Schizosaccharomyces pombe: one gene and its partner. The protein of the gene in region 1 interacts with the protein of each later gene in a pairwise test. Each region holds a gene or a part of one and is shown in the gene's direction. Other genes may lie near its edges. The genes, in order: rdi1 and SPOM_SPAC23A1.14C.

Region 1 (8,613 bases):
CACATGTTCCCTTAATTCTCAAGAAAGAATCTACTCGTTCAAACTTTTCCTTAATAATGATAATGATAACATGACTACGTATGTTTAATAATAGAAGAGAATATTTTTTAATGAGATGAAGGAATAATATAGCAAAACTTCTGAAAATAAATTGATACAGCTAATTGAAGATATTGTTGTTTATTGTTTACTGCCCTGAATCTAAAAATTTTGAAAGTCTAATAGGTTATTTATTCAAATGTCAAATAAGGAGTTATTAGCGAAACAAAGTTTGTAACAAATGGTTATTAAGCATTCACTCTGCATGCACTATATTCACTTGATTTAAGTCGTCAAAACTAGCTTTGTGAACAAGGGGGACGGCCCTTAAAAGAACACAAAAATGATTTCGATAAGAAATGCGCTAGCAGAAAAATAATTACTAAAGTAGAAAGACAGTCAATGGTTAGAAACTGGAATGTACGAAAAAGTTAATTTCTGTATTCCCTATAAAGGGAAGGTTCGTTTAGCAAAAGAAGTTGAAGATCACAAAAACATTTTCAAAATCGTAAAAAAAAAGTTCGTAAATATCACGGTTATTAAATATAAATAAAAGAACTATATAGCCTAGTTCAAAGAGGACGTGAAATAAAAGAATTAAGTGAAAGTGTAACAGAGTTACAGCAAGTACAATTGCTAAGTGATATTTATTTGCACCCTAAATGGAAGCCACAAGTAATAACAACGCACAAAGGAGCAAAATAATAAAGCATCTGGGATACTGTTTAGCCTTTCGGCTGACCTTGTTTAATCGATTTTTTGCATGATCAAACCTCCTCTCAATTCGATCAGCATCATTATTCATATTATCTAGTAAAACATTTTGTTCGGACAATTCTGTATTCATTGCATATCCCATCCGCTTTTGCCTTTGGACACTTGCTTCGATCCCTCCTAAAGATTCTTCTTGTTCGTTGAGCATTTGCTGATGCATTTGAGCCAAAACGTTTACGTTTATGGGATCAGGGTCATTGCCATCAACCGGATACATGGCCTCCATCTCAATATCAGATCCCTCACTACTCGAAGTCGTTTTTTGTAAAGAAGGAAGGGGAGTTAACTTATTATTCGTACTTGCAACTTGCGGGTTTGCAGAAAAGGCACTTGTTCCGTCAGCAGGAATTGAGGATGCACGCCGCTGCTTCTCAAACTCTTCCTCAGCAGACTCTAACCTCCTTTGCATTCTAATAAGAAATGCTTCGGATTCTCGTACTCTGTACTCTGGGATTTGTGCATTTTTCTCTAATCGCGATTGCTCCTCATTAAGTTTTTGCAATTCTTGCCGAACATCTTTCAATGAAGACTCAATTTCTTCATCGGGATTCTGTCCAAACTCTTCCAACTTCCTCCTGTCTCTTATTTTTTGTGAAACCGAGTCAATGATCAGAAGCAAATTTGACATAGTCGCTGGTTACTTTCTTGAGTAATCATGTTCATCATGCGCCTAAAAACACAAACATTAGTGAAGTTTACAGTAATACGGTGTAATGCCTTTGCTACCAATTCTAGGTTCAATTACAGTAAATTTTGTTTGCAGCAAAAAAAGAGAATCTTTTCGTATGTTTTAAATAAAAAAAAAAGTAAAAATGATTTGCTCATTAGCTGCCAGATCCATTATAGGCATCCTGTGAAATTATCGTATTATTAGAAACCTACTCGTTATTTACACAATTTTTTGAATGCTTCTTTTCGACTCTTCTGATTGTTTTCGGTATTTATCACAAATTTAGTAGTTCTTATTTCACATCTATTAAAAGGTAATCAAGCAAGGTGTAAGGAAAACTTTTTAATTATTGAAAGTTGGTTTGCGTAGTTTCAAAATTAATCAGATAAATTTATACAGCAAGCCCAGTATAAAAAGGGGCCTAACCAGGATTCGAACCAGGGATCACCTCTAAACTCAGCATACAAGTGGGGATTACCCGAAAGAGGTATGTTAACCACTACACTATTAGGCCTAGGTTTCTCATTACAAAATATTAATATAATATATATATAAAATAATTGCGACATAATAAATGTTAAGTACCTCTTTGCTCTGAAAACTAAAATACCAATAATGACGCTTTTCTTTTCATTAGAAGAGAATGTTTATTAAAGAAATATCTTAAAGAAAAATACTACTTAAATATTTATTTAGGAGTTAGTACACTAATTCCAGAGTATTAAATCCAAGTGTAACAAGGTAGGAGTAACAAATAGTTGTTTAATTACAGACAATTAAGTACAGTAGAAAATTACTCAAATATATACAAGGCTTTGGGCCGTTTAAAACGAATCATGCTGATATCTATATTCGGCTAATCGACTTCTTGCTTTATTCTCAGTTTAAAATGGAGTTTTTTTTTATAGCGTTACGAATTAGAAATAGATGTAGCCGTCTATCAAAGTTGACATTGCACGTGAAATTATCATTATAAACATAATCAAATGAATGGCAAAGCGATCAAAATAAGAAGGAATTTTACTACGTTATAAAACATTCGGCTTTTTATTTTACTTTATTCTTTTTTATTCAGGTGCATCTGATAATAATCGCGTGAAACTTGAGTGCAAAAAATTTTACAGCCCTGTAGATCCCGAGTGAGAGTAGATCACATATAGCTAAAGGAGCTCGTATGAAACTAAGATACAAATACATTTGTTTACGAACGTTTGACAAATATATAAATTGACCCACAGACCTTAAAATTGTCAACAACAGTTGTCTCAAAAAAAAGCCGGGTCGAAAGTACATTATTTACTAAATGATAGTGTTTTTAACTTCAAAAACAGTACAAAGAATGCTATAGAAAACAAAATGCATTTTCGATGAATTGAATTATTCATTTTCTGTAAACAACAAAAAGTTGGTTGAGAATTATGGAATTCGTTATTTTTATTTACCGTATTTCAATAGTTCGTAAATATGCATGACCGCATCGGTAAGCATAGGCAGGCTTAGTAACTTGCATTTCTCTTTGTCTTTAAGCAAACATCGACTAAAATACATATTGCTTGAAAAATTTAATATTGGTTGCATACACTTAATTCACAATGGATAAAACAAAAATGTTTAGTGCCATTAATTTGGGCGTAGGTGGTATCTTCGTTTTAAGCGGATTTATCAAGTTATTTTCATTTAGCTTCGTAAACGCTTTACTTGCATTGTTCATCATCGTTTTCGGTTTGGGAACTATTGGTTTAGAAAAGGAAATTCCTCCTATTGCTATTAAATATGGATCGTTCATGTTCTCATTCTTAGGAAGGGGCTTCTTCTACGCTTTCATGGGTACTTTACTCTTTTCTTACTCCGGGTTTACTTCTTTCCTAGGCTTTTTAGTTCTTCTTGCAGGTATCGCCTACTGTGGTGCAAACTACGTAGCAGGATTGCAAGACTACGCTCCCAGAAGCATGCGTGATAATGATTGGGATGATAACGTTGATGAAGTGTAGACTTTTTTTTATTTCTAACTATATTATTTGATTCGGTTCTTGTTCCTACCCCCCTCTTTTCCCGATGTCCTCCTACATATGATTTATTCTGGATACATTCGTTTTCTTCAGGGTAGGTGTTCTAAAAGACAGTCACTTTAGCAGTCATCCTCAGAGTAGTTAATGAGTATAAATATGTATACGATCTCTTAACTATGTATAATTTTTGTATATCAACATTAGCGTAGTAGCTATGGTATTTGTGATGGGTTTTAGGGTTATACATTCAAATACCTTTAATTGTCCAGCTTGGATTCTGAACTGTCGGGTGTATCGAGGAGGATAAAAATGACATGTCAAGCTCAACAATATGAAAAATTATGATTTTTTTCTATTTCTTCACTTTCTGAGATGTATCTTGCAGTTCAAAATGTTAGTTGGCTTTACTAAAATTCTATTTTATTTCATTACTCTAATCAATTATCTTTTTGCTTTATGACCATTACCGCTTATACTCTATAGATGTTTTATATTTTTTATATCTAAATAAATATCTTAATTTTTTTGAGCTGTTGGGAATAATGAATATTCTTTCTGAGTTTCTTACTTACAGGTCTTATAGACGTGTTTCCATTGTCCATACTATAAAATTGTTGACCTCTATAGTCACCGTTGCTTTTGTCACTACATTGCAAGAGCTGACGAGTCCTCCAAATTGACAAATGCGATCCTCAATATTCCACTCAAGGCCGCTGGTTTTTTTAACATACACACTCTGTCCTACTGGCAGAAGACCGCAATGTAAACCAATGTTGTCGTGACAATCAACATGATTTATTCCGGGTTGAAGCAAAGTTGATACATTCAATTCAGTTAATAGAAATACTTCATTCTTTTCAGAAATCGAGGCGGCCCAGAATAGATGGTTTAAATTACCAATGGCATGATCAACTCTTCCACCCATGCCACATAATACAAAAATAGTATCAATCCCATGTTCTTTAATTATTTTATGGCATTTCATAAAGTCAGTGGTGTTTTGGCATGGGTCGAATACAATGTTGACTCCCATTTCTTTATAATAAGCTTTAGTTTCATCTGTTAACGAATCAAAGTCACCAACGACATAATCCGGTTTGAGCGAAGAATCGTAATTTCTCAATTGGTTAGCACCACCGTCTGCGCAGACTCGGATACTAGCTCTTTTCCATAAAGTACGAAATCTATCATCCGGTATATCTATGGGTTGATTTAATAGTAATACCGCAAACTTTTGATCAGTATCATAGTCACGTAACCAAGCCTTACATGGAGCTAGCTGATGAGTGGCTTTTTGGGGTTTTGCAGGAACACACGTTTCAGCTTTCTTTGAAGTATCTTCAAAAGAATCCCCTCTTTCATATTTTCCAACAGGAACAGGCAACGGTCTATGTATCCGTTCTAAAGTTTGGAGATACTGAGGATGCTGTGGAGTAATGATACCATGACGGATTAAAAAGTCTAAAAGAACCAGAGCACAATTTGGCTTAAAACTTTTTAATTCAAGTTCATGAAGTACTTGATTCAATGGTAATAAACTGAAACCAGCGACTTCTCCATCATTAATTCTTGGGATAACAAGATCATCAACAGGTAAATCGAATACATATTGTAACTCGGGCTGAATCCAATGCCTTTTCTCCATTTTGATGTAGGAGACAGTGCCACAAGGAATAAGATTCATAGAAGAAACGTCCAAATTAGCTTCTTCAGAAAATTCCTTTATCATAGTGCCTATGACTGAATCACCATGAGCAATTCCGCCGGCAACGCTATTATCTAAATAATTGGGCCACGTTTGTTTAGTCGGTGATCTTCGTGGTACCCAAATACGAAGAGGATGTTCTTTAGTTGCTGGAATATACATGGTACAATGCACACCAGTGCTCAAAAAACCGAATAACCAAAATCCGCCCCGTTCAACGGCCAATACAGGCTTTTTAGATTTTCCATAAACAGTATATAATTCATTCCTCCATTGATCAGCAATTCCAAATGTATTGTTATGGCGCCAATGCTCCAGTACCTTAGCTAAGATGTCAGTTCTTTTTTCAAAAGTAGATGCGTTTATTTCAATATACTCTCCTGGAACATAAACCCAATTGAATTTGAAATTATCCGCCTTTATGAGGATTTCTAGTACCAAAGGGGTAACATATCCAATGGCAGCGCCATTTGCACGGAAGGGAATTGTTCCAGGAACAAATTCCCCATTAAAAGAATCGCATTCATCTAAAAGCTCTTCGGCATTTAATTGTTTAGCAGAGGTGATAGACGACATTGCCATTACCTTGCCCAAATTTTCCTCTCAAATGGATAGTGTTCTAAAATAAAACAGGAATAAAAAAGGCTAGTGTATTTATGCGAAGGAGACACTTATGGTTCAATTCAACATAAATAGAATAATATATAAAACACCCTATACTAGCAAATGGTAAAAGCTCAAGGAAACTGGTTCCTGGTAGTAGAAATCGGGTAGTTGACTAAAACCTTATCGTATAACGAAATGCTAATCTATTAAACCCCTTTCAAAATGATCTTTAAAAACAAAAAAGAAGTTGATATTAAACAAACAGTACCTTAATCAAGGTAATCTAGTAATTGTCTTTCAAGAGTGTGGTCTACGAGGAAAATTACAATGGGAGCAGAACTCCGTGCCAGGAATGTCTTGGTATTAAAAATAATAGCACACAGATTGGCTTACTAATTTTCACTTTAACACCAACCGCCGTTTTTGTAATTAATTAGGGTTTGGTATAGTTAAGCGTATCTTTCACATGATTTTTATTTTCAGTGGACTTCCTTCGTAAGTTTTTTAATAATAATTCCTGAAGTGATTGATAATTTTTCCGCTAAACGTATCAAATCTGGTTGTATAATAGTTATCGACTACAGCTATAACTTGCTGCTCAAACAATTTCATGTAAAGAACATCTGCCTACAGAAAAGCTAGCATAGAAAGTTCCTTCTTTTTTACGTCTCATAAGACGTCAATGCTTGGGATTACTCCAACATATTTACATGTATAAAAGCATGGATAATGACACTAAAAAAAAAATCGAAGGGAATAGAAAGAAAAAAAAAATCTTATACTTTTCTCACGCTTTTCTGCATCTCCGTTATATTTAAAATAATCCAAGTCACCGAAATGTTAACATAGTAGTACATCTGGTTATATTGTTGAGATAGCAATATGCTATGTTCCCTTTGCCAATTTCAACTCTAGAACAGTACATTAACAAAACAACGAATCTGAACTTTTTTTATAAAAACAAATTGTCCTTGGTTTAGCTACTGGCAGATAATTAAATTCTATTGCGTTGTTTTAAAATGAGTGTTAACAATGAAGTATCCGCTGATCAACATAACCCTGAACTAGAGGATGATACATTTGAGCATGGACCTCCGGTTTCTCTGGGAGAAAAGAAATCACTTAATGAATATATGAAGATGGATGCCGAAGATGAATCATTGCAGAAATGGAAAGCATCTCTGGGTATCACGGGAACAGGTTATTCACCCTCGAATGATCGTAGAACAGTTGTTATTTTAAAGCTGAGTTTACTTGTTGACGGCCGTGACCCAGTTGATGTTAACATGGAAGATGCAGCAAGTGTCGAACAAATCCGCAAGAAAGGGTTCACTATTAAGGAAGGAAGCGAGTTTAAGATTGGTGTTAAATTTCGTGTACAACACGAAGTAATTTCAGGCTTAAGATATGTCCAAACTGTTCGCAGACGTGGCTTTGTTGTTGACAAAACATCTACCATGATTGGCTCCTATGGACCTTCTGAAACACCTTATGATTTTACCTCTGAACCAGATGAGGCACCTACAGGTATGCTGGCTCGCGGACATTATGAAGCCAATGGAAAGTTTGTTGATGATGATAAAGTGGTCCATCATGAATTTGTTTGGGCTTTTGACGTTGCAAAAAGCTGGAAGTAGTCATTATTTATGCCAGCCTTATTTTTTAAAATCGTAAATTTCAAATCTACTTGGTTATTCAAAATTCTCGGTATTCAGTACTATAAAGAAATTTATAGTGATGTTTTGTTACAAAGCAAACATTTTCCTTTTTCTTACCAATTTCTTTCACATATCGGTGTCTGGACTACAATTGAATATGGTAATGACGATTTCTTACCACCTTCTTCAGTGAAACTTTACTTCACCCAAATATCTCGGATTGTTTGGAGATTGCCTTTTGTTGTGCAAATTACTTTTATAGCTTACATATGATCTTCACATATTCCCCTTTAGCAATCTACGTTGTTTCTTTTAAATCTCGTTCCAAAGCTTACAAATGCGATATTTTGGAAGGATATATACATCCGACTATATTCTTTTCACTGAAATTATGAGTTTTGAGATTTTGATTAAATTTTTCCAAGTATCTTATACTTTTCCACTTTTCCTTGTTGTCACCAAAGAAGTACATAGAAAACAATACAAATAGCTATTAACTAGCCTGATTAGTCCCTTTGATGGGAATTACTAGAATACTATTGTAACGGTAATAACTCATTCTTAAACTCATTTCAACGTATCTCGCTCGACTTTGAGAAAATCCTACATAGTGCTTGAAACTTAACTTTTTATTTTAATACTTCACACTGATTAAAAGATTGATTAATGAATCCTAAACCCATAAAAAGTTATTGAGCGCAAAGCTACTGTCTTAATATAGTTTTACTGCAGTAGAATAGAGACATCGTTAACTTGGTTTCTTGGTATCACACTTTTTCTTTCACTAATTCTTTGCACATCATTTGCTAGACTCTCATCTTTCACCTACTTGGTTTGGTGTAATCCGTTCCTATTCCTAACGTATTATAGATTTCCACTAAGTAGTCTGGAAATCTCGTTGTTTTAACAGCCAGCTGTCGTTAAAAATCATCTTTTATTTTTTGATAAATATGAGGCGATCAGTTATTATTGGATCCTTGCTTGCTACTGCCGCTGTTGGTAAGTTTCTAAATTTTGAAAAAGCATTGTTATGATGATTAGATTTTTGAGATAAGCGGGCGTTTGTTTTCTCTTTTTGATCTTGAAAATAGAAGTACTGTATTTCAGTCGAGATTTTATTGATAGGGTTAAACATTGATCTTGTTCAATAAG
Region 2 (9,362 bases), 2.8 Mb from region 1:
CAAGATGGCGTCTCTTCAGATATGGTATATGGAGCTGAGAATGTATGCAATTTTTCCACATTTTTTAAAGAATGTGGACGCGAGTTGCTGTCGTTACCGAATGGCGCACTCAATGTATCCACATCAACTATCTTCGTAAGTGCTTCACTTGTACTGTCAATAAAGTCATTAGCTGAAAGATATGATTCTGTATCGGCACCAAGATGCTCTGTATTGTTGGAAATCGACTTGATGCTACGTGTAATAGAAGGAGCATAACCTAAGGAAGAGTTGCGAGAATGAACAGCACTAGTTGGCGTAGGTTGATGAAGAGCCATTTCGCTAGCACGTTCTACAAACACAGCATCCTCTGCTGGCTCGGTAAAGTCCTTTGGAAAGGAGCCAATTTTCCTGTTACCGTCCGAGTCCACATATGTTCCGGTATACCAGTCGCCGTCCAGATTACTGACGACGTCGATAACTTGGCCTGGATCAAATTCCAAGTCATCGGAGAAGCTGCTTCTATAAGGATAGAGTGCAACCACTCTTGTGGGAAACGAGCTCATCGTGGAGCCTGCGATCCGCTAATACTTTTTTTAAGTACAAAGAGAGATCAGATAAACAATGAACCAGTATAAAAAGAATGGTACCATTCAATATACAATACACTGATTCTTTTTTCCTAAAACACAGATATACAAAAAGCCAAAAAAAGAGAAAACAAGATACCAAAGATGAAGGCTCCGCCGATTTATTTTACCACTAAAAATATATACAAATGATAGCGAAGCTGAACGTCATCGTTAATCTCTTCTATTAGGATATCTAAGCCAGTACACTGTCATTTTGGTTCCTAAAGGGCACGCGATTTGTGCAGACAAAGAAGTTTGGTCAATCTTAACAGCAATAAACACCCAAATGATAATATCGCACGTGAAGAAGCGACTGACTACATGTGAGACGATTTTCAATGAATGAACATTGTGGGGAAAGGATCTGGGGAATTCCCTTCCAATCGTAACATCTTGTTGACAGTGATTCGTTCGACTAGCCAAAGGTAGCGTAATGCACTGTAAGATTATTGGGTATTATTTTGCTTATCAATGTTGATTGGTTTTTGTTATTTAACGTTATAATAATATTTACGCAATTGGATCTGGTTTCCTATTTTACATAAGGATACACTAGCAATCCTAAAACGAAGCCACAGCATCGTTGGTTTGCTATATTTACGATTACTGTGTGGGTGTGGGGTATGGTATGGATATGGATATGAATCATTAAGATTAAGGACCAGTTATTTACTAGTGGAAGATATGAATAGGGTGGATGTAAATTTATCATTATTATTTTTAACGGTAAAATGATTTTCTTAAAGAGACCTACAAAACTTTCTTTACATGATTGGTGCAACGCATGCTTTTCTTTATTTTTTTTCCTTTGTCCACACTCAACTGAGAGGGTAATTTCTATCAAAATTTTTAGTACCAAGGCCAACGCACTGTCTTAGTTCGCTGTAAATGAATTGCGTAACTCAAGAACTCTTTAACAAAAATTGCACGGCGCTAAAGTATTTTTACGATGCTCATTCCTCCTTCCAATGCTTGACTGACTCATATCTGCCTAATAGCGATTTTTAAGACCTTCTGTTTTCCAGCTGACTCCAATATATCCAATTCAGATATGAACAAAAAATCAATTCTCAAAAAGCCGAAAAATGCTCAAAGCACTCAAGAAAAGCAATTGATCACGTGGTCGAAGAGTCTTATAGATGAAGCACGCAGTCGACTTCAGTATGATTTTTTTGCCCTCGAATGGATTGAAAAGCTGGTTGATCCGGTTTCCCTAGAAACTTTAGAGGAAGCTCGTAAATACCTTCGAAAAAGTGATTACGATCAAGTGGTGAAGGAGCGTAAACTCGTCAATCTGTGCGGTTATCCCGTTTGTCCTTATGAACCTAAGCAGCAAACTAGGTATAAATTAGAAGATTCAGGAATGAAGGTCTACGGTGGACTCAACTATTATTGCTCGAAGGATTGCTTTCTAAAAAGTTGTCAATATATGGTTGAGTTGAGCGACGAACCATTATGGATACGTGAAGATGCTCGCGAAGCTATGAAACAACATCTCGATCCTCGTCAAGATGAAGCATTTCGTAAAGAGTTGGAAAACAAAAAAATTGAAGATGTACGCTTACTCCTGCAAGCGTTGCCTGTGGGTTATAAGGCAAAAGTTGGTGAAATCGTTGAACATCCTTTGGCTAATGAACAATCATAAAGCAAATGGAAGTTTATCAAATTTTTTCTTTTCACCCCAGAATATGTATAATATTTTTGAACAAAAAAGACACCGACTTGTGTCTAGCGTCGTTTGAACTAGAATGAAAGGTTGCTTCATTCTACAGTTGCGTGCATAGTAACATTTCTGTGGTTTTCGACTTTTTATTAAAGATCGATACAATATTCCCTTTACCATTTACACTTTCTAATTTATTTCACCTTATTGCCTTCTATCTTTATTGTCTCTTTCTCTCTCTTAGCATCTTTATTTCTCGTTATTTATAATTCCGCATTTGATTTCTTTTCCTTATTCTATATACCGAACCTTTCGATGTATAGTCTTATATTCACCTTCAGCTGTGCTATATTGTTAGTGCATCCATCATTCGTTTCCCACTCATCATCATTTACCTTTATCGTTCTTTCCTCTTGCATCTCATAATACTATTTCTCCTTTAACTTGTTCAATAAAGCAGAGAACATAGCATTCGATGGCCGACGTTCTGAATGCACTAGAAGAAAAAGTTGTTGAATTACAACAGTCAGAAAGCGTTGAAGTTATTAAAAGGCATTTTCGAGAGTTTAGAAAAATATGGGAAACTGCAAGGGTAGAGCTTGAATACTCATCCATTCAGCTAGACTCAGTTCTACGATATGAAAAGGCTGTACAAGAATACATTCGGTTGAACAGAAGATATCGGAATAAGATTGCTAGTGGTGAACCATGGTTGCCTATCGCACAAGAAATAGGTAAGATTGTAGATGAAGAGGAAATTACCTCACCAAGTGATGGTTCTCTTCAAAAGCGTTCAATGGATAACTCTGGTTCGTGGCAATCTGATGATATTTATCTTACAAGCGCCAGTCAGGTCACGGCGGCTATGCGTGATATTCACGCACAAATGGTACAGGCAGTGGATATGAGTGCCGAAAATGCAATGGAGTTGTCTTCGAGTACCAACTTGTTAGAAACTCTACAAGAGAAATATTTTGGTGTAGAGGACGTTTTATATACAAGTAAACGGATAATCAAATCGCTCAAATTAAGTGATCGAAGTGATTACTTTTTAGTCGTCTCGGGATTTGGGTTCTTCATATTTGTGGTTGTCTATCTTCTCTTCAAGCGAATTGTCTGGCCTATTCTTTCTATGTTTCTTTGGTTTCTTCGGTGAGATTTTGAAAATGCATTGTTTATTAAAAAGAAAGGCGAGATTAAAAGCAAGGCTTTTTGAGGCTCGTTCCCATCGAGCTCGAAGTATCTATACGAGAAATTATTTTTTCGCCCTTTTTCTCAATTTTATTTTGAAAAAGTCTTTGTAAAGTAGTTCTTATGTTTTAATGTTTATCTTATACGATTGGTTTTTATTTACGTGTTGTTCTCTTTAAATAAAAACGTTGAATGGCGTAGAAGTTTGCTGATGATAGTAATGCTATAGTATTTGTAACTCAATGGGAAACGCCATTCCGTAAACAAAATGAGTTCTTGCTCACGAAATATGCGACAGTCGGCATGCAGCTGCATTTCAAATCATTCTTATTGTATATGCCTCTTTGATTGTCAAAACCATTTGTTTGACCACAGTACAAAAAGAGCAGTATTCTTTGAATTCCTAATAAAAACTAGAGCGCTTGTTAATTGGGAAACGCATCTTGTTAAGTCTGTCGCATATTTTCTAGGGTCCGGTACGAACGCCTAGAATCTGAGATCGGATAGCAAACTCCATTAAACCTATAAACTTAAAACTAATAACTGCTTATGTAAAAATTCATTAACCAAACGTTCTAATTATTCAGTGTCCTGGTTCTATTTGTTTGTGTGCTTTCTACTTCAAATGCGTAATATAGTGTTTACAAGCACGTAAGCATAACGATATAAATTAAGGCACATGCCCCGCGATGTCTCACAACAACTTGTCTTTAACCAAACTCTTTACGTTAGTTAACGGAGATATAAGTCTTTAAAAGAATTATCATAACTAGGTATCTGTCGTTTGATCTCGTACTTATTTCTTTGGTCGATTGGTGATTACTAGTGTAGGAGCATTCAATTAGATATAAACATTATTAATTCCGTAAACGTGTAAACACTAGTTTTCTCGAAATTCATTTGTTGTGACCTTTCTGCATTTCATCTCTGTTTTTTTTTCTTTAGTTTAGCATGACTCACACTCCTTCGTTCGATCTCTCTGACATCAAGTCCACATTAAGTACTAATGTACTGCATGCCGATGATGCTTATGCATTAGAAAATGATGTGGCTCCTCCCATCCATATTTCTACTACTTATACTTATCCCGGTACTCCTGACACTCTTCAGCCTTTCACCAAACTAGCGGAGGAAGACTTTCCATACTATGCCCGTATCAGCGGCAACAATGTTGATCGAGCTGAAGCTTCGTTGAGCAGTGTTCTTGGTGCACCTTCTGTTGTTTACTCATCTGGTTTGGCTGCTATTTACGGACTGTTGTCGTATTTAAATCCCAAACACATCGCCGTTCATAAACCCGGTTTCGGTGGTTATTCAGGCACAATCCAAATTATTGCACGCATCAATCGTCTAACCGGTTTAGAAACCTCATTTATTGATGGCAAATGCGATGCCATCGGTGAAGGTGATGTTATATGGTTGGAAACTCCTTTGAATCCTTTAGGTATTGCCTTTGACATTCCTTTTTACAAGGAACTGGCAAAAAAGAAGGGTGCCATACTTGTTGTGGATTCTACTTTTGCACCACCCCCTATCCAGGATGCACTTGTTTTAGGTGCTGATTATGTAGTTCACTCGGCGACTAAATATCTAGCCGGCCACAGCGATGTTTTGGCTGGAGTCACAGCCTCGAAAGATAGATCCAAGATCCTTGATTTGAAAGCAGATCGTGCTTATCTTGGCACAATTTTACATCCTCAGCAAGCATTCTTACTCTTGCGCTCTCTTCGTACCTTTCCTCTTCGCATCGCAAAACACAGTGAAAACGGATTTTTGGTTGCCCAACATTTGAACAAGTTGGCTACCGATGAGCAATTTGCTACTAGCCTAGGAATTGATAGTAGCCTGATTTTGGAGGTTTACCATAACTCCTTGCAGACCAAGGAATTTGTCGCTAAAAATTTGACTGGCGGTCATGCATCTTGCTTTTCTGTTCTACTTAAATCTGACACAGTTGCTAAGCATTTGTGCTGCGAGTTGAAATATTTCCATCACGCTACTTCGTTGGGTAGTGTGGAAAGTTTGATTGAATGGCGAAGAATGACGGATTCCAAGATTGATCCTAGACTTGTTCGCTTGTCCATTGGTATTGAAGACGCTGCTGACTTGATTGCCGATTTGAATCGTGTCTTTGCATCTTTAAGTTAAATCATTGTGTTATTTGCTTGTTTTCTAATGTACTAATGAATATTGTAATTCGTTCCTTTTGAGAACATTTTTAATTCTTGCTATCTTTCTTTGCAATTTTTTGTATTGTTGTGTTTCACGTAAAAATTCACCTTGATCGCTATTGCAACAGTAAAGCGAAGGGTACGATAGAATCGGTGAGATGTCATGTTCTAGGTCATCAACCCGATCATTTTCATTCTTTAACCTTCGAACATGCTTGGCATTAACAAAACCCATCAAAGCCTTTACTTGTTCATAACTAAGTATTCCCTCAATTGTCCAGGATGGACTTTTCAACCCTTCATGATTCAAACTATAACCAAAAAAGAACTCACGTATAAAAACTAAGTGAAGGTACTTTTTCTCTTTTCTGTTAAAGAATTTTTCTAAAAAAAACGATTTAAAGAAATTAATAATAAAATCGTATCAACCTGGACTCAATAGCATTACTAGATTTGGAAGATGATTTGCCTATACCTGGTTCTCAGGCATTGAGAAAGGTGTCTGCGACAGAGGTACTTGATTTACTTGTTGAACATGAGTTGGCCTTTCCGAGCGAATTTTTTGAAGAGTTGTCGAATTTATCATTCTCTGAAAAACAAACGGCGTTAAGCAACCCCAAAACTCAGGTTTACACCAAAGGGGTGTTCGCTGCAGGACAGGTTGCTCAAAGGTGTATTGCGGGTTGTTTAAGGAAAGGCAATCCTAATTACTGGAAATCTCAACAGGTCGTAAATGCATGGGCGCGATTGTTTCCTCGTCTGCGCTTCCTGTCCCGTCAGCAAATTTCGGGAACTCAGGAGATTGAAGTCAAGTTTTTACCAGACAATTTAGGAGATAATAAGGACACTTGTCATTTATGTGGTTTATCTGCCGATGACTCCGTCGCTACTTTGGCACCTGCTGAAATGCTCATACGGAGTCAAGGAGCTTTTTGGCATGAAGGCTGCTTGAAGTATTATAAGCACCATTTTTCTAAATAGAATTTTCAATTATGGCTTTGCTGAACTTAAAAAAAGTATGGTTTGACGATGTTTCACTAGAAAAATACAAAATACTTCATCAATTGTGAGTCGTGGTTGGCACCTTTATAATTCATTTTTTGATAAAAGGGTACACCAGTCAATAATTTCTACTAGGTAGGTATTATTTGCAGCATCGTCATCTCACCTACCACTTAAAATTTTTATTGTTGAATGAAAATCATTGTATTCATGATGCGGCTATTACATGCCGGTTGTTTTAAAATATATGACTAGAAGACTATAAATCAAAAGAAGTTTGATTTATATTGCAATTGTGCTATTATGAATTTGTTGCATTACCTTTTATCATCTCGAGCTTTAGTAATAGGGGCCTGAAGCATGTACAAATCAGTAGCTCGTGAGTTTTGTATTTATGGAATATCTCAGAGTATAAAATGAATATTAATTTATTATATTACGAATATATTCCTACCAAACTCCTATGCTAGCCAAGGCCGATTAAATCTAAAACAAGTAACAAGTCACTTCAGATTTAGTGGATCACCCTTCCTAGTGTGGTAAAGTAGGCCCGGTTCAGGCAAGCCCATCGTTCACCACAGATCCTTTGAAGCTTTTTGAATTTGAGGAAATGCCTACCATCAGCTGTGACAAGGAAGAGCTGTACAAGGCCCTAGGAAGAGAGTACAGTAAGTGAAAGATGATTTGTTGATAAGCAGCGAAATTTAACATAATTGTAGCAACTCAAGAGTTTGATGAACTCTGCTTCCAATTTGGAATTGAGCTTGATGAAGACACTACAAATGACCCAGAAAGAAGTCCTTCTGAGCGTCCTTCTTTAAAAATTGACATTCCGGCAAATCGCTACGATATGCTCTGCTTAGAAGGAATCGCCCAGGCTTTGAATGTGTTTAATCGTCGCATGGCTACTCCTCAATACAAATTACTTCCTTCCACCACTTCACTCACAATTTCCCCTGAAACCTCGGAAATTCGTCCTTATGCCGCTGCAGCTATCTTACGAGGTGTGAAGCTTGATCCCATTCGTTACCAGAGCTTCATTGCCTTACAAGACAAGTTACATGCAAATTTGTGTAGAAACCGTACCCTTGTAGCCATTGGTACCCATGACTTCTCTGTAATGGAAGGTCCGTTTACCTACGAGGCATTAAAACCCGAAGAGATCAATTTCGTTCCTTTGAATCAAACCCAGGAAATCAATGGTTCTAATTTATTAGAATTTTACAAGGATAGTAAACATCTTTCCCGTTATTTACACATCATTGCCAACTCTCCCAGATATCCTGTAATTTTGGATGCTAAGAGAAGGGTTTGCTCACTTCCCCCTATCATTAATAGTGAGTTCAGTAAGATCAGTGTGGATACCCGGGACATCTTCATCGATGTTACCGCAACCGATAAAACTAAACTCGAAATTGTTGTCAACATGATGACCACGATGTTCTCTTGTTACTGTGAAGAGCCTTTTACCATTGAGCCTGTTAATATCATATCTGAGCACAATGGGTGTACTCGTGTTACTCCTAATTTGAATCCTACATGTTTTAAAGCTGATATCGACTATTTGAACGAAGCCTGTGGATTGTCCCTTCCCGAAGATGAGATCTGTCATTTGTTGACCCGAATGATGCTTACAGCAAAGCCCAACCCAAATGATTCCAAGACTCTTTTGGTATACGTTCCACCCTTGCGCGCTGATATTCTTCACCAGTGTGATATTATGGAGGATCTTGGCATTGCTTATGGATATGACAATTTGAAACACACTTATCCTGCTCATAGTGTTACATTTGGCAAGCCTTTTGAGGTTAATCGACTAGCTGACATTATTCGTAATGAAGTTGCATATGCTGGGTGGTCCGAGGTCATGCCTTTCATCCTTTGCTCCCATGACGAGAATTATGCATGGCTTCGAAAGACTGATGATTCAAAAGCTGTTCAACTTGCAAATCCCAAGACTTTAGAATTTCAAGTTGTTCGTTCAAGCTTGCTTCCTGGTATTTTGAAAACGGTTCGCGAGAACAAAAATCATGCTTTACCGATTAAAATATTTGAAGTCAGCGACGTAGCCTTTTGTGATTATTCCAGAGAGCGCATGACTCGTAATGAGCGTCATCTTTGCGCCATTTTTGCAGGTTTGAACTCTGGTTTTGAACAAATTCATGGCTTGTTAGATCGTGTGATGCTTATGTTAAATACTAAACGCATCATGAATCCCAAAGATTCCGATGCTGTGGGATACTGGATCGAGGCTGAGGACGACAGCACCTTTTTCCCAGGTCGATGTGCAGCAGTGTACTATCGTAAAGATTTTGGTACTGCTGGAATTCGCGTTGGTGTATTTGGTGTTCTCCATCCCCTTGTTTTAGAGAAGTTTGAACTCACTTCTGCTGCTTCCGCTGTTGAAATTGATTTGACACTTTGGGTTTAGATAAAACATTGGTAATGGAAAAAAAAAAAAGCCGTAAATAAATTTTTAGACAATGCATTTATATCTTTGTAGTAAGTATCTTAAGTTTGTAACCATGTGAGATATTTGAGTAAATTATAAAACTGTTGAGGATCAATACCGTCTATTAGAGTTATCTTGCCTACCATTACTGAAAGATTAAGCAACTACAGGAAATTGTAGGATAAAACATTAAACTATTCATGATTACACTACAAAAAAGCAGAAAACAGGAAGACTGATATTACGAAATACCAACGTAAAATGGGCAAAAA

What was found.
Region 2: the proteins of rdi1 (region 1) and SPOM_SPAC23A1.14C interact in a two-hybrid assay, tested with the Schizosaccharomyces pombe proteins (one large-scale study listed by BioGRID).

What each region holds. Positions count from the first base shown.
Region 1 is NC_003424.3:1,313,024-1,321,636, forward strand, and holds rdi1 (Rho GDP dissociation inhibitor Rdi1), read left to right. Parts: upstream 1-6,701; 5' UTR 6,702-6,822; coding exon 6,823-7,440; 3' UTR 7,441-8,113; downstream 8,114-8,613. Other genes in the region: fsv1 (SNARE Stx8), read right to left, coding at 698-1,441; tvp15 (COPI-coated vesicle-associated protein), read left to right, coding at 3,076-3,474; tnr3 (thiamine diphosphokinase Tnr3/ Nudix hydrolase fusion protein), read right to left, coding at 4,070-5,779; TOM complex subunit Tom20, read left to right, coding at 8,412-8,460.
Region 2 is NC_003424.3:4,098,010-4,107,371, reverse strand, and holds SPOM_SPAC23A1.14C (cystathionine gamma-synthase-like protein), read left to right. Parts: upstream 1-4,163; 5' UTR 4,164-4,416; coding exon 4,417-5,613; 3' UTR 5,614-6,096; downstream 6,097-9,362. Other genes in the region: bbc1 (SH3 domain-containing protein), read right to left, coding at 1-545; RNA polymerase II CTD phosphatase Rtr1, read left to right, coding at 1,663-2,256; SNARE protein Sec20, read left to right, coding at 2,750-3,430; phenylalanine--tRNA (Phe) ligase beta subunit Frs1, read left to right, coding at 7,249-7,306, 7,358-9,069.